Linked DNA regions of Cricetulus griseus. The protein of the gene in region 1 interacts with the protein of each later gene in a pairwise test. Links are inferred from orthologs where the notes say so. Each region holds a gene or a part of one and is shown in the gene's direction. Other genes may lie near its edges.

Region 1 (3,500 bases):
TGTCGTTTAATTGCTTTAATGTTTCTTATTTTGTACTCTTAAGAATCTGTACCAAGGGGCAGTGGATATTGTACCTGGCTGCTGCTAGCCTCTGCCCTTACATAATGAGTTGGTTTGGACTGTTCTGGCAAGGAATAGAATGGAATTACCATTCTGGGGAGAGTAAAGACCTTGAGAAAAGCCTTTTGTGCCCTGGTTATGGGAGCCAAGCATCCCTTATCATTCTGAATGTCAAACACTGAGACCCATGGTGAGGTCACTGTGCAGCTGAGTAGGAAATTAAACAAGGTAAGAGAACTAAAGTTACAAGGCTGTGCTCTAAGTCACTTGTAGATTTAGAATTGGACCTATGGTACTGTGTGCATGTTGGGACTGTGTTTGATGAGTTTCTTGTCACAACCAGGTAATAAAGTTAAAATATACTGTAAGCCGGAAGTCTATAGACAGCTACTGGAAATGTGCCTAAGATCCTTTTCGGAACCAGTCTCTGTTGACCATACATTTAGTCCTCATTGGAATCCACTGGGACCTGCTTGGGGGAGAGGTGTGCTTGTCACAGTGTGGCACTTTTGATGGTAACCCTGCTGTTTATTTTTACATTGTTCTAGGAAAAGTTGCTTTCTCCATAAGGAAAACAAAAGAATGTGGTAAAAATTAAGCACTCTAAAATGAAATGTTCCTCAAGTAAACACATAATTTTACAGATTTCCATCCATTTTTTTAGAGAGATCTCACAAGTGCTGTGATTACCCATGTGAACCACAGTTTCCCATCTTAAATGCCTATCTTGATCTGTTCCAAGCAATAGGCAGTTCCTCCAGTCCGTCCCCTTCCTAGCAAACACCAATGGGAGATGGGATCCCTGCTCTCAGATTTCCTCACAACTGAAATGCTTAGCTTTTCTATTGGGCATCAAGTCGTTTCTTTATTCAAAGATAAAAGTTAGTGGTAACAAGTAGAAACCATTTGGGGGGGGGGTATTTTTTGGTATTTTTTAGACAGGGTATAAAACCCCAACTGGCCTGAAACTCAGAAATCCACCAGAGGCACCACACCTGGCAAAAGGATACATTTTATCCTTCATTTTATACATTAACTCTTACCTTAACATGTTTTTATAGAAATGAATTCTGGGTCTTTTCTTTACTGCTTTCTTATTGAGAGGTTTTGGAATCTTCAGATTTCACAATAGTGTCCTCACTTTCTACTCTTCTCTTTATGTTGTACATATAAAAAACATCTATAGCTTATATTCATTATACTTTCAACTTCAAATTCATTACAGAAATGTCAGCCAAAGAAAGTTGAAATATTGGCTCTGTTCTTTTGTTGTTGTTATTTTTAATTTTTTATTTACTTTTATTTATGTACATTGATGTTTTGCCTGCATGTATGTCTATGTGAGGGTGTCGGATCCTCTGAACAGGAGTTACAGACAGTTTTGAGCTGCCATGTGAGTGTTGAGAATTGAACCTAGGCCCTCTGGAAATGTAGCCAGTGCTCTTAACCACTGAACCATCTCTCCAGCCCCTTGGCTCTGTTCTTAAAGCTCATGGCTGGAAATATTTTACAGTAGTTTATGATGGTTTTTATCTTAATGGTTTATAGGTGGATTAATTGGGGCTTTGTTTTCTTTTCTGTCTCACATAATCCTTGGATTTCTTATTGGAAGAGCCTGATTATTTCTGGCTTCTTGGATTTGTTTTTCCTGTGTCTGAAGAAAAGTCTACAGGAGCCCCAAAGATAAACTACTCCTTCATAAATAGATAGAAGTACCAACAGAATGCCAGCATTATTGTTCATTACTAGCAGATCTCTGCTTAGAATTTCTGTTCTCCATTCAGCAAATTTTGATTGCATACTCCCATCTTATATAGTGCTTTAAATGCATAACCAATAAGAACAACTAAAACACCCTCTTTCAATTCCTGACCCAGCCACATTTACAACTCTGTATTGTAGACTATTCAAAGCCCAATGCTAGGAACAGGCTTCTGTTGTCTTCATTAGTGAAATGCATGTGGATTTGTTTAAAGTCTTTCACTACCTTGCAGTCATATACCTAAGAGATCTGATACTAAGTGCTCCAGTTCTGTGAAGTTCATTCTAATAAGTGAATACATCCCCTCCCAGGCTCTCCTGGTCTGACTTCTGCTCACTGTTTCTCCAAGGAAGATGTGATCCTTATGCTTTGGGCACTATTGTCTATTTAACTTCTGAGAACTAACTTTTGTTCTTGATTCATAGAAAGAAACAGAGGTAAAGGAACGCTCTGTTTTTGACATCCCTATATTTACAGAAGAATTCCTGAACCACAGCAAAGGTGATCACTGCAGTGTTTTTGTGTGTACCTTGGATCTTTGACAGGGGATTTAGCTCTCGGGGGTTCATTGCTCAAAAGCACTGACTGATAGCCCTCCTTAGGACTGGAGAGGACTCTGTTACAAAGAATGTCTGTTTTTTAAAAAGAAAGTAAAAGAAAAGAAATTACAAAGCTGATTCCATTGCAGGACAGATGGGTATCCATAGCTGTGCTTAGCCATTCTTCCTCGATACCCCTGTGAGGATCTTCAGGCTTCTCACTGCACAATTTTAAAAGCAAATTTTAACAAAATGCTGGGAATTGCCACTGTTTGTTGCAATCTTCTGTATAGAATGTGTTGCTTTAAGAATTAAAATAGCTCTGGGGAGCCAGGCGTTTCATTGTTGAAATTGCTATCTGGAGTGTCATAAAGAGAATTGGGAGATGAGGAGGGAGCTAATGAGAGACAGCTAGAAAGAACTTCCTTAGGAGGGTTACCGAGACTCCTCAGAGGCGCCTTCTCTTACCACATGTATTCTGGGGGGCATGTGTTCTCAGCTCGTGAGGCAGAGCTGCGACAGCTTCGTAAATCCAACATGGAGTTTGAAGAAAGGAATGCAGCCCTACAAAAGCACGTGGAGAGCATGCGCACAGCAGTAGAGAAGCTAGAGGTGGATGTGATTCAGGAGAGGAGCCGGAACACTGTCCTTCAGCAGCACCTAGAGACCCTGCGACAGATGCTGACCAGCAGCTTTGCCAGCATGCCCTTGCCTGGTAAAGTCATCCTCTCCACACTCTTTCCGTGACGGGGATAGTGGGCCGGGGTGGGGATGGGGTGCTGTTTATTGGGAGTCCCAAGAGGAAAGCGGGGGCAGGTTGTCCTTATTGAGACTTTCTTTTTATTTCCCCCTCCAGACAGGGGGTTCTCTGTGTAACAGCCCTGGCTGTTCTGGAACTCACTCTATATAGACCAGGCTTGCTTTGAATTCAGAGATGTCTGCCTCTGCCACCCAAGCATCAATAGAAAGGCAGGGCACCTCTAATCCTAACACTTGGGAGGCAGAGGCAGGAGGATATGTGTGAGTTTTATGCCAGCCCTGTCTACATAGTGAGTTCCAGGATACCTAGGACTTCATAGTGAGACCCTGTCTCAAAAAAAAAAAAAAAGGATTTTTTTTCAGTGAGACATATTATAGAA
Region 2 (2,317 bases), on another chromosome or scaffold:
ACGATCTGCTGGTGGCTGCCGACTCCATCACCAATACCATGTCATCTCTGGTGAAGGAGCTCCATTCAGGTGAAACCCAGAGCTCCCCACCGGTCTCCGCCTCCCCTCTGTGCCCCTCTGTGCCTGCCCTCTCCTGCCACCAGGCACACGGCGCTTCTTTCCAGTCCATTCTCCCTTCTAGGAACACACAGGAGCTTCACCCAGTGCCTCCCTCCCACATGTGATCACAGTTTGTATTAAGAACAGTCTGAAGGAGCAGACACAATTCCAACTTGAAGCAAAGTCTGCTCTTCAGTGCAGCCAAAGCCTCCCCTCACTGTCTCCACCTACACTTTGTCCACAGTGGCTCTTTCCCTAGGCTGGCCATCGCCTCATTCTGAAGCTATCCTGGATGTGGCAGCAGTCAGCACCAATCCACCTATCTCTCTTCCAGCCGCCCTCTGGCTTCCTGCTGTTTGATTCTGTTTTGAAACTCTTGTCTTCTCCTTTTGTCCATGACCAGGCTCTGATCTGACCTGAAGGTCCCAGCTGCAGCTCCCTCTGTTCTTCATGTTTGGTCCTTCTTGACTTCTTTCTCCTTCCCTCCATGACTCAGCCAGTGTAGTGGCTTCCCAGAGTTCTCTGCTTCACAGTGTTTTCCTCTTACATGAAACCTGGGAAAGAGAGAAAGGACAAAACCACCATATCTCCAAGTACTTGCCAGCTCCATCAGTGACATGGCCACTCGGAGCTTAGGGATTATTTTCTAGCTATGGCATCCTTTGAGAGCTGCATCATTTACACCGAAGGCCCATCTCTGTCTTAGTTACCCAAACATTGCTTGTGAGTGCTCTGCAGTGGCTTACAGAGCTGTCAAGCAAAAGCACAGAGCAGTGTTTCCAGGGCCGTTCAGACACTCTCGTGAAAGGGAAGCCCAGGATGTTTGCAGCAGGGGAAAGCATCTCCTTTAGGGCTGTCATCCTTTCCACACCTCAGCCCTCAAGTCCATGTGTTTTCTTCAGAAGAGATTACACCTGTGGCCTGATTGGCTTTCCCAGCTCAGGTCAGTCACCTGTCCTGCCACAGGCAATATGATGCCCTCACCCTCTTTCATCCTATTTCTCATGCCCACACCGAAGCCCAGCCCTCACTGAACATGCACAAAGCAGGGTGTAGGGGTGAGGGGTAACCTCAGGAAGACCTCACAGCTGATTTGAATACCCTTACTCTAATATACTTCCCTAATAGACTTCACTTACAGTTTTAGAGGGAGTTTCTTAGGGATTTTTAGGACATGCAGATGAAGTACAGTTAGAGTTTATGCAAAGCAAGTGGCTCACGAGCTCAGTACTCAAGAATGAGAATGTAATTTGATTGACAGAAAACTGAGTCAGTCATGGTATTGCATGCCTGCAATCCCCCGTACTTGGGAGGCTTATGAAGAAGTCAAAGGTTATATGGTGGGAGGAGGACGAGAGAACATCAATTAATATGAAAAGTTGGTTTTAATAAAATTGTGTCATTTAGAAGGTATGTTAGTGATCCTGTTGTCCAGCCTTATTTTAGAAATGTGGTGAGGGGTTTTTCAGAAAAGTTAATTTGTTTGAGATCACATTGCATGCAGAGGCAAAGCTAGTTCTAGAGCTTGGGTGTAGAGAAACATGATGCCAGACTCTGAGCTGACCCAGGACAGACAACAAGGCAGGTTCTGCGAGGCCCCTATCCCAAGCACAGAAGCCTATCGTCTGACACAGATGAATGCACACAGGATCCACCCAGTACCCTTGTTAAACACAGAATAAATCCTATCCCTCAGTGAATGGGAGAGTCCTGCCCAATACAGTGCATGTTGACGTCTTCTTTGAAAGCGGCTTCACGGGCTTTTGTTGGGAGTGGATATCCAGGTTGAATTTTCAGACACTTCCCACAGCACTCACAAGGCACACATCTATAGTTTGTCTTCCTCATCCTTCAAAAATATTTTCATTGAATTTGCTGTCATAGTAAAAGCCTCCAGTCTGACTATTTCCAGGGAGCTCATTCACAGCCAGCTCTAATCACTGGAGATTTCTTCCTTATTAGGGAGCTAAAATCTCCCTTTCTGTCGTGGGTTGTTGCCTGCCTAAAGCTGCCCTAAGTCCAGACTTCCTCTCCAGGCCACCTTTTGAGTGGTGGGTGGTAAATAATGTGTTAACTCTCAAGTTTTCTCCTTTCTGAGTAGATTTTACCCAATCCCTTCAACATGTATCATATATGACATGATTGTCTGTTTTCCTAATTGGCCATACCTGGCAAGATGTGACCTGGTTTCCAAGGTCCCAATTCAGAGAGAACACCC
Region 3 (2,175 bases), on another chromosome or scaffold:
ATATTGTGTTATTTGGGAATAAGAAAAAGTCTATACCTCCAGTAATATTTCTTTTTCTAGAATATTTCCCATCTGCAGTTGGTTGAATCTGCAGATTCAGGACCCCACAGGTAGGCAGGTCTTACTGTATCTGCCCCTGCGACCTCCCCCCTCAGCATTCCTAGCCCCCCCCAAATCCTTTACACCTTTCAGACACTATCCCCACCCACTCCCAGCCATGAGTCTGTTACTCTACCATCCCAGCGGAGCTCTTAAATATCACCTAACTTTTTCCAGCTCCCTTTGCCCACATCTCATCTGCGAAATTTGTTCTGATAAGAGAAGGGCTCTGACACAGATAGGGAGCACTCTGCCCTGTCTGCTTCCTGGTGGGCTAAGGTAGAACCATCACACATCCTCTGTCCTCTGAGCACACTCATGAATGCTACTTTGCAGGCCATCTACAAGATGGTGTCCTCTGTGATGAAAATGCCTGAAGATGAGTCCACACCGGAGAAACGAACGGACAAGATCTTCAGGCAGATGGACACAAACAATGATGGTAGGACATGGGGGGAGAGGGGATGTTTGTGTGGAACTGTTGATAGCACAGATGTGTTTGGGATATGCACTCTGCAGCCCTGGCCCTGCCCCTTCCTCTCCCACCTGATTCAGCTATGCTGAAGGAAGACTGGAATTCAGGGTCAGGGACACCTACCCTGCACCCTGTGCCCTCCCTATGGCTTTAGGACCATGGGCATGTCACTACCCCCTCTGAGCTGTAGACTTCATCCATGTTGTCTTGGTTAGGGTCACTATTGCTGTGATGAAACGCCATGACCAAAAGCAACGTGGAGAGAAAAGGCTATATTTGGCTTACACTTCCATATAGCAGATCATCAAAGGATTCAAGACAGGAACCTGGAGACAGGAGCTGATGCAGAGACCATGGAGCGAGGCTGCTTACTGGCTTGCTCCTCATGGCTTGTTCAGCCTGCTTTCTTATAGAACCCAGGACCAGCAGCCCGGGGTGGCTCCACCCACAATAGGCTGGGCCCTCCCCCCCCCCATCACTAATTAAGAAAATGACCTACTGGCCAGGCATGGTGGTGCATGCCTTTCATCCCAGCATTTAGAAGGCAGAGACAATCGGATCTGAGTTTGAGACCAGGCTGGTCTATAAAGTGAGTTCCAGGACAGCCAGGGCTATTACACAGAGAAACTCCAGACTCGAAAAATCAAAAAAAGAAAATGTCCTACAAAGTTGCATACAGACATATCTTATCGAGGCACTTTCTCAACTGAGGCTCCCTCCTCTCTGATAACCATAGCTTGTGTCAAGTTGACATGAAACTAGCCAGCCCACATATTAACGGCGATAGTGGTTTTACTATTTTCACAGGTATTTTTAGGGAGGGAAGGCAAGTATACTGTTGGCCTGAGAGGTGAGAAGTAAGAGGACTGAATCAAAGGGCTTTTGAGTCATGGGATCCTGAGAAGCTGGCCAGGCTTCTCTTGCCATCACCCTGAGATGTGAGGCGCTCCACATACTTATGGCAGTCAGGCATGGAAGCCTCATCTGTCTGTGGCCATTGTACCCAGGACTCTGAGGTTCTACCATGGCTGCAAAACGGCAGGTCTCAGGTGGAGGACAGGTGGTGAGAGGTTCATGAAGGTATTCCCTATGTCCTCCTTTGCCTCAAATGTGAGTTTCTTGCAGGACCCCAGCAAGGGTGAGGTAGCCTCGTGCCATGACTTGATTCTGCCTGTCTGTCTGTGACTTTGTAGAGCCAAGACTGATTGGCTTTTGTTCCACCAAGAAATGCACCATTAAGGGGGAAAAAGGCTCCCTGGGTTGTGCTGAGATTAAATGTACGCTAATGCACAAGAAAGTGCCGTGAGGAGCCTCAAGTGCTGTGCGCAGGTGAGCTAAGGACGGAGCTCAGCAGGACACGAGGTTCTCGTGGAACTGTAGACAACAAAAAGCTTTCCAGACAGCAAGGAAGTGCCTTTCAAAACATGTTCACACACAAAGCAAGACAGCCTCTTGCCTGGTGCTGCCTTTGGGCCGACTTCAAAAGCATTCTTCGCTCTCGTGTGTGTCATGACTCCAAAGCTTTGATTCCAGCGCACTACGTTGAGGCTTGGCCATTTCCCAGGCTTGGCTTTCTTCTCCATGAAATGGGGAGAAACCCA
Region 4 (4,178 bases), on another chromosome or scaffold:
TAGACATTCTGTTGAAAAGCCAGTGGTTTGTTTTGTATGACTTTGCTCTAGTGGCAGAAGTTGTTTTGCTGTTGTTTTGTTTGGGGGAAATACCAAACAAAACAACAATTTTTTTCTTTATGTAAATTAACCAAAGCTAGGTGTGGCAAAGCACAGCTGTGATCCCAACGCTCGGGATTCTGAGACAAGAAGATTGTGAATTTGAGCCCACCCTGGGCTACTAACAATAACCTGTTTCAAAATAACAATAATAATAATAATAAATATTCTCTCAAAAATCAGTAAGAAATTAGAGACCATTATGTTGAAGAGTATTACTCAAAGTGTGATCAGAGGGGAAGTCCTCATACTGTTTGCAATCAGTACAGAAATTGAAATGTTTCTAAACCTTTTCAGCACTTCGTTATTGTCCTAATGGTCAAGTCCTACTGATCGATAGACTTTTCTTATTTGAGAACCCAGCAGTTCAGATATCATATTACTGAGCTGCAGGAGGCTGGGGCAGCTTATTGGTAATGCATAAAGGATTCCCATGCTAGCCAGCCAGAGACAGAATGGAAAGGAGTAAAGAACTGCCCTTCTGCATCAAGTGGATTAAAAAGAATGCCAGCATTTTATGCCGTCGGATAATTGATCTGCCAATATTCAAAAGTTAATTTTTAAAGTAGAAACATCAAATGATATTGCAATATGTCTCATGAAAATTTGTGTATTGTCGCTAAGCTTTCATCTTTGAGAGTGCCCTGCCATCTTGTGGTTGTAGATGTTTCTATAACAGAGACCCATTATCTTAGGCTTAGCCCAAAGAACTAAAACAATCCGCCCCAGAGCAAGCGCTTCAAAGAGGCTTTTAAGCCCATTTTCAAAGAATGGAATGGACATTAGAGAAAGGAAAGAAAAACATTTTCCCATGTCTCTTCATGTGCTTATCAACTTACCTACTTTGGAGACTTATGTATCCCTCTCTGGCCTGGATGTCACCGTGTAGATCAGGATGGCCTCAAACTCATAGAGTTGCCTCAGCCCTCCAATTGCTGGAACTGAAGGCGTGGGCCACCACCCCAGGCTCACCCAGCTCTTGGAACAGGGCTTCACGACCTTAGACGTCTGCTTGATCTCAAAATGCTCTATGGGTGTGTTTAGAATGAATCACTTTCTACTCTGTTGTATTGGCGAGAGGGGCGGGGGGAAAGACCCTACTGTGTCTACCAAACATTCTCGTTCAAATCACGACAAAAAGGGAGTAAGTGAGGCTGTAGGTTCGAGCACACTAACTTTGGCTGGTTTCTAGAGGACAGGAAATACTGTGCAGAGAGTAGACGACTGAGAAGGGAAAAACCACAAATCCCAGGATGCCAAAGTGACAGCCTACAACTCCCAGCATGCTCGAGGAATAACAGGGCGACTGCGCAGATTGGCGCGCGGGTGCTCCTGGGACGTCAGCATGGCGGCGTTCGCAGATTTGGACCTAAGAGCGGGCTCGGACTTGAAGGCTCTTCGGGGACTGGTGGAGACCGCTGCTCACCGTGAGTCTACTGGCTTCGCCCCGCGAGCCCGGCCCCTCGCTGCCCCCATACCACCGGTTTGCTTGGTAGTTTTTCCAGGCCCTATTATTGGGTCTCTCGTGGGATTGCGGCATTTCCCTAGAGGCAAATGGTAGTTGCTATGTCTCCCGGATCCCTGGCGTGTGAAACTCACAGGCTACTGAGGAAGCTGCCGTTGCCTGGGCTTGCACAGTCTTTCCGTGCGGAGGGAGAGAACAGAGGCCAAAGGGGTCGAGGTGTTGGCAAGGGGGCTGTGAGCTGATGAATGGTAGGCTCTGGGACTGGACTCCAGGTGTACAGTCCCCTAAGCCGGTGGGTGCTTTTAACGTCAGTCCTTTTGGGCCCCGACGACATCTGACAAATACAGAAAGCTGGGTCGCAGGCAGGAACTGCTGTGGACTCTTAGAGAATGGGGAGGGTGTTACCTTATTTCTCCCGAGTTTTAAGTTCCTTGGGGATGAGCATTAATCATGTGTGCTGTCGCCTGCCATAGGGTCTGTCAAATAATGGATGCTCTAATAGCTTGAACTCGGGAGTTATTAGACTAGTTTGCCATTACCATGCACTATCTTTTATATTAATACTCTATCATCTTGTTGGTCTTTAGACAACTTAAAGACAAGAGTCGTGATTTAGATGTGTTGGCGACAGAGGCACTTTTCCAAGCAGTGCTAACTGTTGTGAGGATAAGGCAAACCGTCGTTTTCCCTGTCTTTTACTGTAGAGCACCTCAAAAGAGGTGTAAGGGATTCGTCCTTCCATTGCACCTTCGGGTAAGGGAGGAAATAGAGCATCGCAGAAGAAATGAATGATAATGAAGGTGACGGAAAGACACATAAACTTGATGGAATAAAAATGAACAAAGGGGCAGGAAATCCTGAGAATATTGTTTGGAAAGCAGAAACAAGGTGTTTTTAGTGTTTTGCTAGCATAAATCACAGCCTAAATATGTGCCTGGCACTCTTCTAAAATGCTTAATTTTCATGACACTCTGAAGTGCTGTCTGCTGTTAACATCACTTGACAGATGAACAACCTGAAACATAACAGTAAATATTATTAAACCCTCTTACTTTCCAAGTCTAGAAACAGAATCCAGGGCTTTGTGTATGCTAAGCAAGCATTCTAACACTTAGCTACATCCCTAACCTCATCTCATACTCTTGAACAAGAAAGAATATTTTTTAAATAATCTATTTTTTTTTCAGTTGGATATTCAGTTGTTGCCATCAATCATATTGTTGACTTTAAGGAAAAGAAACAGGTAAAATAAGATTTCTCTGATTAATTAGTAAATAAATATTAAGACTTTACAAGCCCAGCAGTGGTGGCACACGCCTTTAATCCCAGCACTCCAGAGGCAGAGGCAGGCAGATCTCTGAGTTCAAGGCCAGTCTGGTCTACAAAGCTACACAGAGAAACCCTATCCCAGAAAAAAATATCAAAAACAACATTTACAAATATTTGTATTTGTGTTGGGAATAAGGAACTAGAAATGTGGACTTGTTGCAATGACCACATACTTAACAAAAACAACACAAGGAAGGAGGAGTTTATTTTCTTATACTTTGAAGGTATGGCAGCAGGAGCATGAAGTGGCTAGTCACAGTTCCTCCTCGGTCAGGAAGCAGGAGATGAATGCTGGGGCTCAGCTCACTTTCTCCTTTTTAGTTAGTTCCCTTAGAACTCCAACCCATGAAATAGCTCAGTTTGCATTCAGGGTGGGTCTTCCCTCCTGGGTTAACCCTTTATGGAAACACCATTATAGAAATACAGAGGTGTGTTTCCATCATCATTTCTAAGTCCAGTAAAATTGGTAGTGAAGCATAAGTCATCACAAGCATGTTTGCGTTTTGAGACAGAATCTTATGTGTCCCAATCTGGCCTGGAATTCAACTGTGTTGCCAACGAAGACCTCCTGCTAAGATTACAAGCCCATGCCCAGTTTATGAGATGCAGGGGTAGAAGGCAAGGTGGTGTGCATTTTAGAAATCACTCTACCTCTACTTACTGAGCTGCCATGTGGCAAGTCTTCTCTGTACTGCTAGCTCCCAAATAGTGAGACTTCTTATTATGAAAACTTGGCCTTAGCTGAGGGTTGTTTCTAACTAGCTCTTATGACTTAACCCATTTCTGTTAATCATCGTGCTGCCATGTAGTTTATGGTTTTTACCTCTCCTCCTACACGTCATGCTTCTTCTGAGTCCAGCTGTGACTCCCCCTTCTTCCCAGAGTTCTCTCTGTCCAGAAGTCCCACCTATACCTTCTACATAGCTGTTGGTCATTTAATATTTATTAAAACACAGTGACATATCTTTACACAATGTAATCAAATACCTTGCAACACTGTGTCTCCACCCTCTCTACTCACTGGGCTGCATCCCCAACCCTCAACTATACTTCTTTAAAAACACCCTATGCTTACTCTTTTACAGTAATAACTGAACTAATATATATCATACAAATTCAAAGATGTTTAAAATTACATTGCTGTTAAATGAGCTATAACCACGATATCTTGTTACCATGGTCTTATTAACTCATTTACTGATTTTTTTCCCATTTATTTATTTATTTATTTATTTATTTATTTTTCCGAGACAGGGTTTCTCTGTGGCTTTGGAGGCTGTCCTGG
Region 5 (4,287 bases), on another chromosome or scaffold:
TAAATGTTTACTCACTTTTAGTTTTTTTGTTCGTGGCTAATAGTAGGGGACTTAGAGTCAGACAGACCTATCTGAAACCTTACTCTGACACTCAAAGTTATTTGACCTTGATCAAACTGGTTATCCGTCTTACGTCTCACGGTGAGTCTCACGGTGAGTCTCACGGTGAGTCTCACGGTGAGTCTCACGGTGAGTCTCACGGTGAGTCTCACGGTGATAGGGGCACAAGATCCAAATAGGTTAATGGCTATAAACCACACCCCAACCACCACCCTATCCCGGCATCCAACCCAATCCAAGGAGCTGCTCCTCCCACTGGGATAGTAGGGCAGGTCTGTGAGTGTGGATAGTGCTACCCTGAGAGGTGTAAACAAAATAAGACAAAGCAGAGACCACAATATAATTAATATAACATCAGGGAAGGCCGCTTAGCAGACCACCCAGTTTCTCCTGGGCACTAAATCTCTCCTGAATGGTCACCACACCACAATCCTTGGAAGACTCACCGTCACCCCGTATTTGAGTGCTAGTCCAGCCAGGGTGTCTCCAGGCTCCAACTGATGCTCCAAGCGTCTTTCCCTCACCGGGGAGCACGATGATTGTACCAGGCTTCCATAAGAACGAGCACGGCTCCCATGCAGCAGCCCTGACCCCCCAAGTGGGGGCTGTCTAGAGGGAGAAGCCATCTCAAGATGCCAAGATCTAGGGTCACAACTGAGGAAAGCTAAGTGACCAACAGTGAGGGCCGAACCCCAGGAATGGATAGATATTCTAGGAATTCCTTCTCACTTCTCTCTTTAGTGTCCCCGCTCTCGAGAGACTACATCAATGCTCCTCTTGCTGCTGCTTACCGAGCTTGGGGTCACAGTCCGTACCCTAAGAAGGCTGCCAGGCCGGTTACATTTCTCCTTCCTCAAGACCCTTGCCCATAAATATCTTCCCTGAGTGGTCGGTCGCCGACCCCTTCGACTTTCGACGCCCTCTCCCCAACTCCTTGCAAGCCTGATCTCTGACCTTTGAACCCTAGACACCCTCATCAACACTCTCCCCTCAGTGTGTCCCCACGTCCCGCAGCCGGGCCGCCGGGAGCCCCCACATCCTCTCTGCTCCAAATCAGGCCCACCCCAGGTAGATCGTGGCTGTGGACGGTGAGCCTGGGGACTGAGAGAGTTTGCAGTACACGGTCCACTGAGATCCCCGAAGCCTCGCTCCACGCCAGGAGGGTCCCACCCTGAAACTCCGGCTCCACGTACAGGTTCTTGGTCTCCAAACACCTGGGTCCTTCGCGATGTGAGTGCCTGTACTCAGGTGAGCGGTGAGGTCTTTTAAAAACAACAAAAAAAAGAAAATAACTAAAAGACTTCATTTCCCAAAAGGCAAAGCGTTCTCAGGGCATCATAGGAAATGCAGGCACCCTCAGGGCTCTGGAGGCGGGTCTTCCGGCTCGCGCGGTGCATGCGTGGAAACGCATCCCCGGAAGTAAAGACTTAATCAGAAAAAGACCGGAAGCAGGGAAGGCGATAACCTACTCTTCCTACGGTGGCCCGAAGGAGAGGCAAAGTAGGCGTAGGAGAATTTATTATTTCTAAGACTCACAGTCGTGATGTCTTTCAAGAGGGAAGGTGACGACTGGAGTCAGCTCAATGTGCTCAAAGTAAGCCCTAGTGAGAGTCTACCCACGAGCAGTGGTGGCGCACGCTTTGAATCCCAGCACTTGCGAGGCAAAAGCCGGTGTGTCCGTGTTGCGTTTGAGGTTCGAGGCCAGCCTGGTCCACACAGCCAGCTCTAGAACAGTCAAGGCTACACGAAGAAACCCTGTCTCGAAAAATCAAAGAACTAGAGAGAGGGAGAGCCCAGCTTCAGTCGCGCTTTGCATTGTTTTGTTGCTCTGGCGACATCTGTGGGAGGGGGTTTCGGGGGCCAGAACTGAGTGATGCCTCCTCCTTCTTACCCTATGGTCTGCTCCATTTGACTCTTTATCCCTGTTATTTCTTTTCATCCATCCCTCATATTCGTTTCTCCTGTCCTGCTCTCTGCAGAAACGAAGAGTTGGAGACTTGCTGGCCAGTTACATCCCAGAGGATGAGGCGCTAATGCTGCGGGATGGACGGTGAGAGCAGAGTGGATCAAGCCTGGGGATTTGCTATCAGAGGCTCAACAGACTTTGGTTTCTAAGGAGATCAGGAGTGTAATAGATCCTTTGGTTGGAAGTGAAGATTGGAAGAGGTGGCGATCGGGAGACCTGGGCGTTGGTGGAGTGCTTTGACAGGCATAGCCCCTAAGTAGGAACACCCCAACCACCGGCTCTCCAACACATACGGGTTTGCCATTCACTTCTCTTTTCCCTAGCTTTGCTTGCGCTATCTGCCCCCATCGACCAGTCCTGGACACGCTGGCCATGCTGACTGCCCACCGTGCAGGCAAGAAGCACCTATCCAGTAAGTACAGGAGAAGGCGGGGAGTGGAGGAATGATAGAGAATACACTCTGAACATTTTGTCAGTCTACTTGATGTTGTGCTTGCTTTCCTTTTCAGGTTTGAAGCTCTTCTATGGCAAAAAGCAATCAGGCAAGAAAACAGAGCAAAAACCAAGACAGCAAAATGAATTGAAGACAGAAAGCAAAGCCGAGGTGAGAGATCTGGTCAGGTGTTGTTCAGGCAGGGCTGTACTGCATGCAACAGGACTTTTGCCTAACATCTCCAACTGTGTCTTCTTCTCTTGATAACCAGGCACCTTTGCTAACCCAGACTCGATTAATCACCCAGAGTGCTCTGCACAGAGCTCCTCACTATAGCAGTTGCTGCCGGAGGAAGCACAGGTCTGTAGAGGGGGAAATCCGGAAGTGGGAAAGGGTAGAAGGAAATAGATGGTTCTGAAGTTACTGCTCTCCAAACTGTACTCTGAGAAACACTAATCTTGTGGAGATGTTGTTTAAAGAAAAATGATAGTTTGTGGTTTGTTTTGTTTTTGTTTTTTGTTTTGGTTTTTCAAGACAAGAGTTTCTCTCTGTAGCTTTGGAGCCTATCCTGGCACTTGCTCTGGTGACCAGGCTGGCCTCGAACTCACAGAGATCCCCCTGCCTCTGCCTCCTGAGTACTGCAATTAAAGGCGTGGGACACCATCGCCTGGTGATAGTTTGTGATTTTAAAATAAATTTTAGCCGGGTGTTGGTGGCTCACACTTTAATCCCAGCACTCCGGAGACAAGGCAAGTAGATCTCTGATCTATAGAGTGAGTTCCAGGACAGCCAAGTCTACACCAAACAAACAAAAACCCTGCCTTGAAAAACAAAATAATGCACACACACACAAAAAAATAGTAACATTATTGCTGGATGGTGGCACACGCCTTTAATCCTGGCACTCCAGAAGCAAGGCCAGTGGGTCTCTGAGTTCCAGGCCAGCCGGGGCTACAGAGGAAAAAAAAAAAAAAGTAACATAATCTGGGCATAGTGGTACACTTTTTTGTTTGTTATTGAGAGGGGATCTCCCTTTGTAGCCCTGGCTGTCCTGGAACCCTGCTATTTAGACCAGGGTGGCCTCAAACTTACAGAGATCTGCCTTTCTCTGCCCCTTAAGTGCTGCAGGTACTAAAAGTGTGTACCACCATACCTGGTTATGGAAAATCTTGAGGCAAAAGCGTAGAACTATTAAGCTGGCTTTTCTCAAGTTCCTAATTCCAAAATCTTTCATATGTAAAATATTTAAGATCTTATGGAACTCAAGCTGGGTGTGGTGGTATACACTTTTAATCCCAGTACTTAGGAGGCAGAGGCAAGTGGATCTCTGTAAATTTAAGGACAGCCTCATCTACCTAGTAAATTCCAGGTCCATCATATGTACTCTATCTCCAAAAAAGCAAACAAAAAAACCTCAGGAACTAGCCAGGCAGTGGTGGCTCACGCCTTTAGTCCCAGCACTCTGGGAGGCAGAGGTAGGCAGATCTCTGTGAGTTCTAAACCAGCCTGATCTACAAGAGCTAGTTCCAACAGCCTCCAAAGCCACAGAGAAACCTTGTCTCAAAAAACCGAGGAAAAGAAAAAAAAAAAAAACAAAAAACTCAGGAACTCAGTTTAGGAAACACTGCTCTTCAGGCTTGGGAGGCACGGGGAAGCTGCTACTTTCCTTCTGTGCATTTAACAGGCTTGGTTTCTTTTCTCCCCAGACCAGAGGCTCCTGCTCCCTCTGTCTCCAGTTCTCCTTTGCCTGCCCCAGAGGTTGGACTCCAGAGTGCAAAGATCAGTAGGGAACCTGAGACTAAGGCAGGATCACATGCCAAAGAGTCAT
Region 6 (3,500 bases), on another chromosome or scaffold:
AGGGTACTTCCAAGTCCGACCCACCAGTGCCTCACTGTGAGTTAGGTCCAGCCCAGGGGATCCTGAGAGGACACTGGGTGGCACTCTTCTACTATCCAGTCCCCGGGTGGTAAGATGCAGGACTCTGGAAGGACTGTTGAGGGAAATGGCCATTGACTCTCCGGTGGGATGGTTGTCTCTCCTAGGGGAGGTGCTACTTCCAGCTCTGTATGAGGAGGAAGAGGAGGAGGAGGAAGAGGAAGAGGCCGAAGAAGAGCAAGTGCAGAAAGGAAGCAGTTTGGCTTCCCTGTCCATGAGCAAGCACCGGGGCCTGAGCCTCACAGAGACAGAGCTGGAGGAACTGAGGGCTCAGGTGCTCCAGCTGGTGGCAGAGCTAGAGGAGACACGTGAGCTTGCTGGACAGCATGAGGATGACTCCCTGGAGCTTCAGGGTGAGCATATGTGACAGGGCAGGGGGCATGGCCCAAAGGCTCTGTGTTTCCCTGGTTCCAAACCAGATGTCCCTCTCACTTCAGGGCTCCTGGAGGATGAGCGGCTGGCCAGTGCCCAGCAGGCAGAAGTATTCACCAAGCAGATTCAGCAGCTCCAAGGTAACTGCCCCCCAAGTCTAGACAGACACTGGCCACCCTAATCAAACAAACCTAACTCAGTACCTTGGTCTCTTTCTCTCCTCTCTATTCTTTCTTTTCTCACCCCTTTCTCTTCTCCCTGCCCCGCCCCTCCCAGGTTCTCTTCTTGCCTTCATTTCCTATCTTTGCATTTCTACATGGCAGTCCTCACCTCCTCTCTCTTGACACCTTTTTCTCTTCCCAACCTCTCCCCGCTCCCTACATCCCTGTATACTTTGTTCTCCCAATCCAGGGCCAGGGGTGGATGATCAAGATGGAGTTCTAGGCTATATTTCTTTTTCTGGTTCCTCCAAGGGGGCCATAGGAGCGAACAGGGAGCCAGCGGGATGAGACTGGAGGACACTCCATGTGTCTTTGAAGGAAACATAAGAACATGAGTTTGCCCCCCCCATCCTCTCTTCCAAAGCCTGTGTCCCTTTGTCTCAGAAATCAGGAAGGCAAGCGTCCCAAATTCCACTGCACTACCAAATAAAGAGGGAGCTTTTGTTACTTCTGTGGGCTTCCGGAAGGTTTTGAGGATCTGCCCTAGAAAACAGCAGGGACTCTGTAGAGAGAGCTGAGATCAAGCCAAATGGAAAGTATAAATGGAGGAAAAAAGGTCTGGAAGCCGTCCTGGTGAGAGCAAGCGAGTGTATAAGAGGAGGAGCAGAAAAGAAGGGTACAAGATGTAAGCAAGGGGAGACACAGGAAAAATGGCAAAGAGAAGAGAAATGGCAGAGATGCAGAGCACTGGGAGGGAGGGAGCGTGGGTGTTGTTTTCATAATATCTGAGCTCTTGGGCTTAGCTTTATCGTGTACAAATTTTTGCTAACCTTGGGCAGGTCACTTTTATCCCTGTGAGTCTCAAGTTTCTTGTCTGTAAAATGGGTTAACTCATTTGTCTGTCAACTATTTGTTGAGATCCATTATATTTAAAGGACCAACAAAGAACACAGTTGACCAAATCCCTAAAGAGTAGATTCCAAAGCTGGGCTGGGTGGCGTAGGCCTGTAATCCCAGTATGTGGGAAATAAAGGCAGGAGAATCAGGAATTTGATGCCATCCAAGGCTTCATAGTGAGTGCAAGGCTATCTGGGCTTCATGAGACCCTGTTTCATTTTTTTAAAAGTAATTCTAAAGGAAAACATAAACAAGTTCAGTTGGCAATAAAGGCAATGCATATATGAACTCAGTGTAGACCTGTGATATGTGGTCGGGAATGAGATAGGAGTCCATTTTACATAGATGCCTTTGACAAGCCTTTAAGAAGATGGCACTTAAGTTGAGTAATGGGAACGACCCAGACATTCAAAGATCTGATGGAAGGACCCAGTGGGCAGAAGGACCTGAGATGGGAATGAGCGTCATGTGTTGGGGGGACAGAACCAAGGTCATTGTGAAGTGCTTGTGAACGACTCTGGTAAGAGAAAGTTCCAAGAGAAGGCAGAGGTCAGGTTACAAGAGGCCTTTTAGGTCAGCTGACAGGGCTGGGTTTCATTGTAGGTGAGGTAGAGACTACAGGATGCATTTTCCAAGGCTGCAGTCACTGATAAGGTTTACATTTTTAGTTTAGCTTTGCCTTTTTCCTCCACTGTCAAGTGTTCTACGACCGAGCAACATCCCTAACCCTCCAAAAGAGTCCTTTGGAATGCAGGGGGAGGAGGAGGAGGGAGTCAAGTATGCTAGTAGTTCATTTAACCAATTGTTTTCTTGAACTAAGGCAGTAGAAATGGAGATGGCTCAGAATATGTTTTGAAGGTGGAACCTTCATGAGTTTACCCAGGGAAAACGGGTAAATAGTGATATCTTTTTTTTTTAAGATTTTATTTATTGATTCTGTATACAACAGTCTGCTTCCATGTATATCTGCACACCAAAAGAGGGCACCAGATCTCATAACAGATGGTTGGGAGCCACCATGTGGGTGCTGGGAATTGAACTCAGGAACTCTGGAAGAGCAGTAGTGCTCTTAACCTCTGAGTTATCTCTCCAGCCCTAAATAGTGATATCTAATAGGCATGGAAAAGGTTGGCAAGAAACAAGTTTGGGGACTAGGGAAACCATTTAAGAGTTTTTTACTGGGTGAGTTTGATGACCAAATGAGTATGTGAAGAAAGCATTTGGGTGTATGAATCCACAACTAGGGAAGAAACAAGGCCTGGAAATGAGATTTGGTATTTTTTTTTTTAATTCAAACCTCAACTTAAAAAAAATTATTTTATGTATGAGTATTGCATCTGCATGTACACCTTTATGCCAGAAGAGGGCATCAGATCCCACTAGAGATGGTTGTGAGCCACCATGTGGTTGCTGGGAATTGAACTCATGACCTCTAGAAGATCAGCCAGTGCTCTTAACTGCTGAGCCATCTCTCCAGCCCCTGACTTAGTAGTTTTTAACGTGCATTATAATCTATGGGAGATGGGCATTCAGTCACACCAGGAGATGCCAGAGGGGAAAGGCCCAAGACAGGAGGACCTTACAAAGGAAATGGTGATAGAAGGAACACCTAAGTCCATTCTGCCCTGAAAGCCAAGAGTAGACAGAAATGCTTCTGCGAAGGCAGGTGAGGTGGCCCCTGGAGTTGGCAAGATGGAGAACCGGGAGACAGCGCAGACTGGATTGGAACTGGAGAGAAAACAGGAGGTCAAACGGAGAACTGAGCACAGATCATGGCGATGACCGTTTTAAAGAGGAATAGGGACAGAGAGAGAAGCGGGGTCAGGGGAGAGGGCTTGTCTTCTAAGGAGCCCTTGATCTTGTTTATACGGTGAAATTGAGCCAAGTATTAGCCCTTGCTTCGAAAGGAACATTCTTCTCCTTCCCAGTATGGCGAAGTCTGAAAATCTGAAAAGGGAAAGGAGCTGTTGCTAGATGCCCATGACTCCCGGG
Region 7 (3,302 bases), about 66 Mb from region 1:
TGTCTTCCTTTATTGTTCCTTATCTTGGTTGTTTTGTTTTTGAGACAGTGTCTCACTATATAGCCCTGTCTGGCCTAAAATTCACTATGCAGAACAGGCTGGCCTGGAACTCACAAAGATCTGCACTAACCTCTGCCTTCTGAGTGCTGGGTTTAAAGATGTGTGCCACAACACCAAGCTTTGGTTTGGTCTTTGGGATGGACTCTCATGCTATAGCCCTGACTTCTTTTTATTTATTTATTTATTTGTTTTATGTTCATTGGTGTTTTGCCTGCAAGGGTGATGGACCCCTGGAGCTAGAGTTACAGACAGTCACAAGCTACCATGTAGGTGCTGGGAATTGAACCCCCAGTCCTCTGGAAGAGCAGCCAGTGCTCTTAAACCATTGAGCCATCTCTCCACCGTCTATAACCCTGAATTTAAACATTGTTCCTGCCTCAGCTTCCTGAGTGCTAGGATTACAGGTTGGAACCACCATACCTGGGTGCTTTGTCCTTCTGATATATAAAAATGGTCCCTGCTGTAGTGTTTTGATTTGTAATTCTCCATTCAGGAGTGAGCATTGATGGTAGAGCACCCACACTCTTGACCCCTTTCCCTCCTTTAGCAATTCATGAGGTCAGAGCACTTATCTCAGAGGATGCGCTTCCCTGGTGGCTTCCTCATCATGGCCATGTCTCTGACAGAGTTTCTGCTGCTGAGCTCGGCAGGGAGGCGCCTACCCTAATGGCATCTAAGCTCCAGGAGCAGACAGGGCCATGGAGCTGGTAAATTATCTCTGTCTCCCTCTGTTTTGCTCAAGGTGCACTCAGCTGAACACCAGAGTGGCCAAACTCAGCACGGAGCTGCAGGAAGAGCAGGAGCTGAACAAGTGTCTCCGTGCCAACCAGCTGCTGCTGCAGAACAAGCTGAAGGAAGAGGAGAGGCTGCTGAAGGAGACCTGTGACCAGAAGGACCTTCAAATCACGGAGATCCAGGAGCAGCTGCGTGATGTCATGTTCTACCTGGAGACACAGCAGCAGATCAGCCACCTGCCTGCAGAGACTCGGCAAGAGATCCAAGAAGGGCAGATCAACATCCCCTCAGCCCCCAACCCGCCCTCTTCAGGGGCCGGTGGGAAGCTGCCATCCAGGAAGGGCCGTAGCAAGAGGGGCAAGTGACCTTGAGAGACTTGTCCCTGAGACTTCCTGGGCACTGCAGGGTGTGCTGGGACCTTTGCTGAGTGGGAGGGTGGGCCCTAATAAGTATGCCTGAGGACGAACTGCGGTCGTGTGGCTCCTTCATTTGTTGTGTGTGGTGTGAGGAGACTGAAAGAGGATGGCACTGGCAGCGCTTCCCCGGGTGGTGAGTCTCAGACCTCAGACACTCATGGCCACTCTGCCCTCCAGCTGGGTGGATCCCAGGCTTCTGTGTTCTTCCGTTGTATTTATTCAGTTGGAGCGCTTAGAATTTGAATTCTGGGGTAGGTTTATGACATGATGTGACCTCAGAGGCAGCATTACCTAGCACTAAAGCACAGCACCTCTCAGGGGTCCCAGCTGCCTTCAGGAGAGGGGCCTGCTGCCCACTGCAGAGCAATCACCTCTCTTGCCATCCCTCCCTTCCCTGGTGGAGTTGAAGAGCTGCTTGAATGTCGCAGAAAAGAGGCACAGGCTTGTCCTCAGCATCCATCTAACCTGGCTTGAGGGCCAAAAAAACAAGGAACTGGGTCAGATGGAGTAGACCCAATGTAGGGAAGATGGTGACAGCTCTATATTTGAGGTAACTGAGAATATCCTCCATCTAGCAGGAGTCAGCAAGGGGCAAGCCTGGAGAGAAGTCCTGACAAGCTATGTGTGACCAGTCACACCAGTCAGTGGATATTTACTGGTCACAGGCTGGGCTCATGTTCAGGTCACAGCTAGGGGGAGCATGGGCAGATTTTCAGTTTTGCTTTTAGGATTTAAGCAAAGGCTGCTTCTCACTCCAGAACCTGGCTGCCGCAGAGCCCCTTTCAAACAGCCATATGATACTTAAACTGTGACCAACAGAGGGGTTGTTTGTGCCTCTCTACAACCAGGAACATCAGATAACTAGTAGAATAGTAGTTGAACAGAATTGAGGGGACACCATGTTGGGATTGATTTGGCTTCTAGAAGAGCTTGGGCAGTTAGGGTAGCAGTGTGTAGTGCATTTTAATTTTCTGCTTTATCATCAGCCAAAGGTTTGAAATGTCACACTTTAAGACTTTTTTTTCCCTGATTGGACCTCATCCTTTGACCTGAATGTCTGATGTGTTGTCACAACATTGCTTGTGTTGCTGATCCTGTGCAGTTCTGTGGAATGTGCTCTGGCATTTCCCAAAACCCCACCTGTAACTGCAGAATGAGTGTACTCAGACCCACATGTTTCTTCCTGAGGGTAGACCAGCACTCCAGATCCGAAGCCTGAGCCACACAGGCACCTGCAGTCAGGGCAGGAGCAGACCCGCCTCTCACTGAGCTTCTTTATCTAGAACGCATTTTACACTGTTACAACCCTGGTCTCAGCCCCACTAGTCTTGTACATCTGACCTTGCAGAAGCTGGGATGGGTGGTAACATGCTAATTAAGAGAATTGGAGTAGTAGACAAAGCTGGCTCCTCATTTCATTAAAACCCACCCAGCAGCCCTGCAGCACTTCATAGCATAGGTCTGGGAAGGCTGTGGCCAGAGGAAGCAGCAGATGGGCAGAGGTTTCCAAACTACTTGAAGGTCTTAAAAAAATGTTCCAGGAAAGCAAAAATCAAGATGTGTAAATAAAATGTTATTTTAAAAGGTCAAAGAGTTATGTTTCGATCTGACATTTGTACAGGATGGAAGCTGTTAGTGTGTTCTTCAGAACAAAGATGAAGCACTTCACTTTCCCACGCTCCCTTGGCCGATGAACTCTTACAAAAATAGCCAGAAATTATTTCTTCCCTATGTGAAATTTGCATCTATGATATTGCTTGGGAGCATACATCTAAGAGTGCCAATGGCCTGCTTTGTTTGTTTGTTTTTCATGACAGGGTTTCTCTGTGTAGGCCTGGCTGTCCTGGAACTCACTGTGAGATCCATGTGTGTTTGCCCCACTATGCCCACCTGTGCTGAACCACCACACCTAGCCTTCATTTTGTAATGATACTCCTTCTTGAGTCTCTGGACATGGTTCCTAACAGACCTCAGGCTTCATTCCTGAGAGCTATATTGCTGACCCAACAAATTCCTCACTGGAATTACCTGGGAAAATGTGGCTTTTGTACTTGGCACAGAGCTGCTCTGCTGCAGATAGCATTTGTTACT

Evidence for each region.
Region 2: the proteins of Hmg20a (region 1) and Dtnb interact in binary tests that used the Homo sapiens proteins (3 or more experiments, as listed by UniProt). The two-hybrid records come from large-scale screens. The link is inferred for Cricetulus griseus from reciprocal best matches to the Homo sapiens genes HMG20A and DTNB.
Region 3: the proteins of Hmg20a (region 1) and Hpcal1 interact in binary tests that used the Homo sapiens proteins (3 or more experiments, as listed by UniProt). The two-hybrid records come from large-scale screens. The link is inferred for Cricetulus griseus from reciprocal best matches to the Homo sapiens genes HMG20A and HPCAL1.
Region 4: the proteins of Hmg20a (region 1) and Rpp30 interact in binary tests that used the Homo sapiens proteins (3 or more experiments, as listed by UniProt). The two-hybrid records come from large-scale screens. The link is inferred for Cricetulus griseus from reciprocal best matches to the Homo sapiens genes HMG20A and RPP30.
Region 5: the proteins of Hmg20a (region 1) and Scnm1 interact in binary tests that used the Homo sapiens proteins (3 or more experiments, as listed by UniProt). The two-hybrid records come from large-scale screens. The link is inferred for Cricetulus griseus from reciprocal best matches to the Homo sapiens genes HMG20A and SCNM1.
Region 6: the proteins of Hmg20a (region 1) and Ccdc136 interact in binary tests that used the Homo sapiens proteins (3 or more experiments, as listed by UniProt). The two-hybrid records come from large-scale screens. The link is inferred for Cricetulus griseus from reciprocal best matches to the Homo sapiens genes HMG20A and CCDC136.
Region 7: the proteins of Hmg20a (region 1) and Brap interact in a two-hybrid assay, tested with the Homo sapiens proteins (2 studies listed by BioGRID and IntAct). The link is inferred for Cricetulus griseus from reciprocal best matches to the Homo sapiens genes HMG20A and BRAP.

Annotation. Positions count from the first base shown.
Region 1 is NC_048597.1:167,992,512-167,996,011, forward strand, and holds part of Hmg20a (high mobility group protein 20A), read left to right. Parts: intron 1-2,247; coding exon 2,248-2,323; intron 2,324-2,860; coding exon 2,861-3,076; intron 3,077-3,500. UniProt on the Homo sapiens protein: Plays a role in neuronal differentiation as chromatin-associated protein. Acts as inhibitor of HMG20B. Overcomes the repressive effects of the neuronal silencer REST and induces the activation of neuronal-specific genes.
Region 2 is NC_048600.1:14,662,214-14,664,530, forward strand, and holds the end of Dtnb (dystrobrevin beta), read left to right. Parts: coding exon 1-224; 3' UTR 225-1,817; downstream 1,818-2,317.
Region 3 is NC_048600.1:26,723,585-26,725,759, reverse strand, and holds part of Hpcal1 (hippocalcin-like protein 1), read left to right. Parts: intron 1-435; coding exon 436-541; intron 542-2,175. UniProt on the Homo sapiens protein: May be involved in the calcium-dependent regulation of rhodopsin phosphorylation.
Region 4 is NC_048596.1:25,691,145-25,695,322, reverse strand, and holds the start of Rpp30 (ribonuclease P protein subunit p30), read left to right. Parts: upstream 1-1,378; 5' UTR 1,379-1,444; coding exon 1,445-1,526; intron 1,527-2,751; coding exon 2,752-2,807; intron 2,808-4,178. UniProt on the Homo sapiens protein: Component of ribonuclease P, a ribonucleoprotein complex that generates mature tRNA molecules by cleaving their 5'-ends. Also a component of the MRP ribonuclease complex, which cleaves pre-rRNA sequences.
Region 5 is NW_023276806.1:61,367,091-61,371,377, forward strand, and holds the start of Scnm1 (sodium channel modifier 1), read left to right. Parts: upstream 1-1,487; 5' UTR 1,488-1,603; coding exon 1,604-1,654; intron 1,655-2,039; coding exon 2,040-2,110; intron 2,111-2,349; coding exon 2,350-2,438; intron 2,439-2,535; coding exon 2,536-2,630; intron 2,631-2,730; coding exon 2,731-2,819; intron 2,820-4,165; coding exon 4,166-4,287. Other genes in the region: Lysmd1 (lysM and putative peptidoglycan-binding domain-containing protein 1), read right to left, coding at 507-702, 1,254-1,366. UniProt on the Homo sapiens protein: As a component of the minor spliceosome, involved in the splicing of U12-type introns in pre-mRNAs. Plays a role in the regulation of primary cilia length and Hedgehog signaling.
Region 6 is NW_023276806.1:198,417,705-198,421,204, reverse strand, and holds part of Ccdc136 (coiled-coil domain-containing protein 136), read left to right. Parts: intron 1-185; coding exon 186-431; intron 432-515; coding exon 516-590; intron 591-3,500. UniProt on the Homo sapiens protein: May play a role in acrosome formation in spermatogenesis and in fertilization.
Region 7 is NC_048597.1:101,540,755-101,544,056, forward strand, and holds the end of Brap (BRCA1-associated protein), read left to right. Parts: intron 1-802; coding exon 803-1,160; 3' UTR 1,161-2,802; downstream 2,803-3,302. UniProt on the Homo sapiens protein: Negatively regulates MAP kinase activation by limiting the formation of Raf/MEK complexes probably by inactivation of the KSR1 scaffold protein.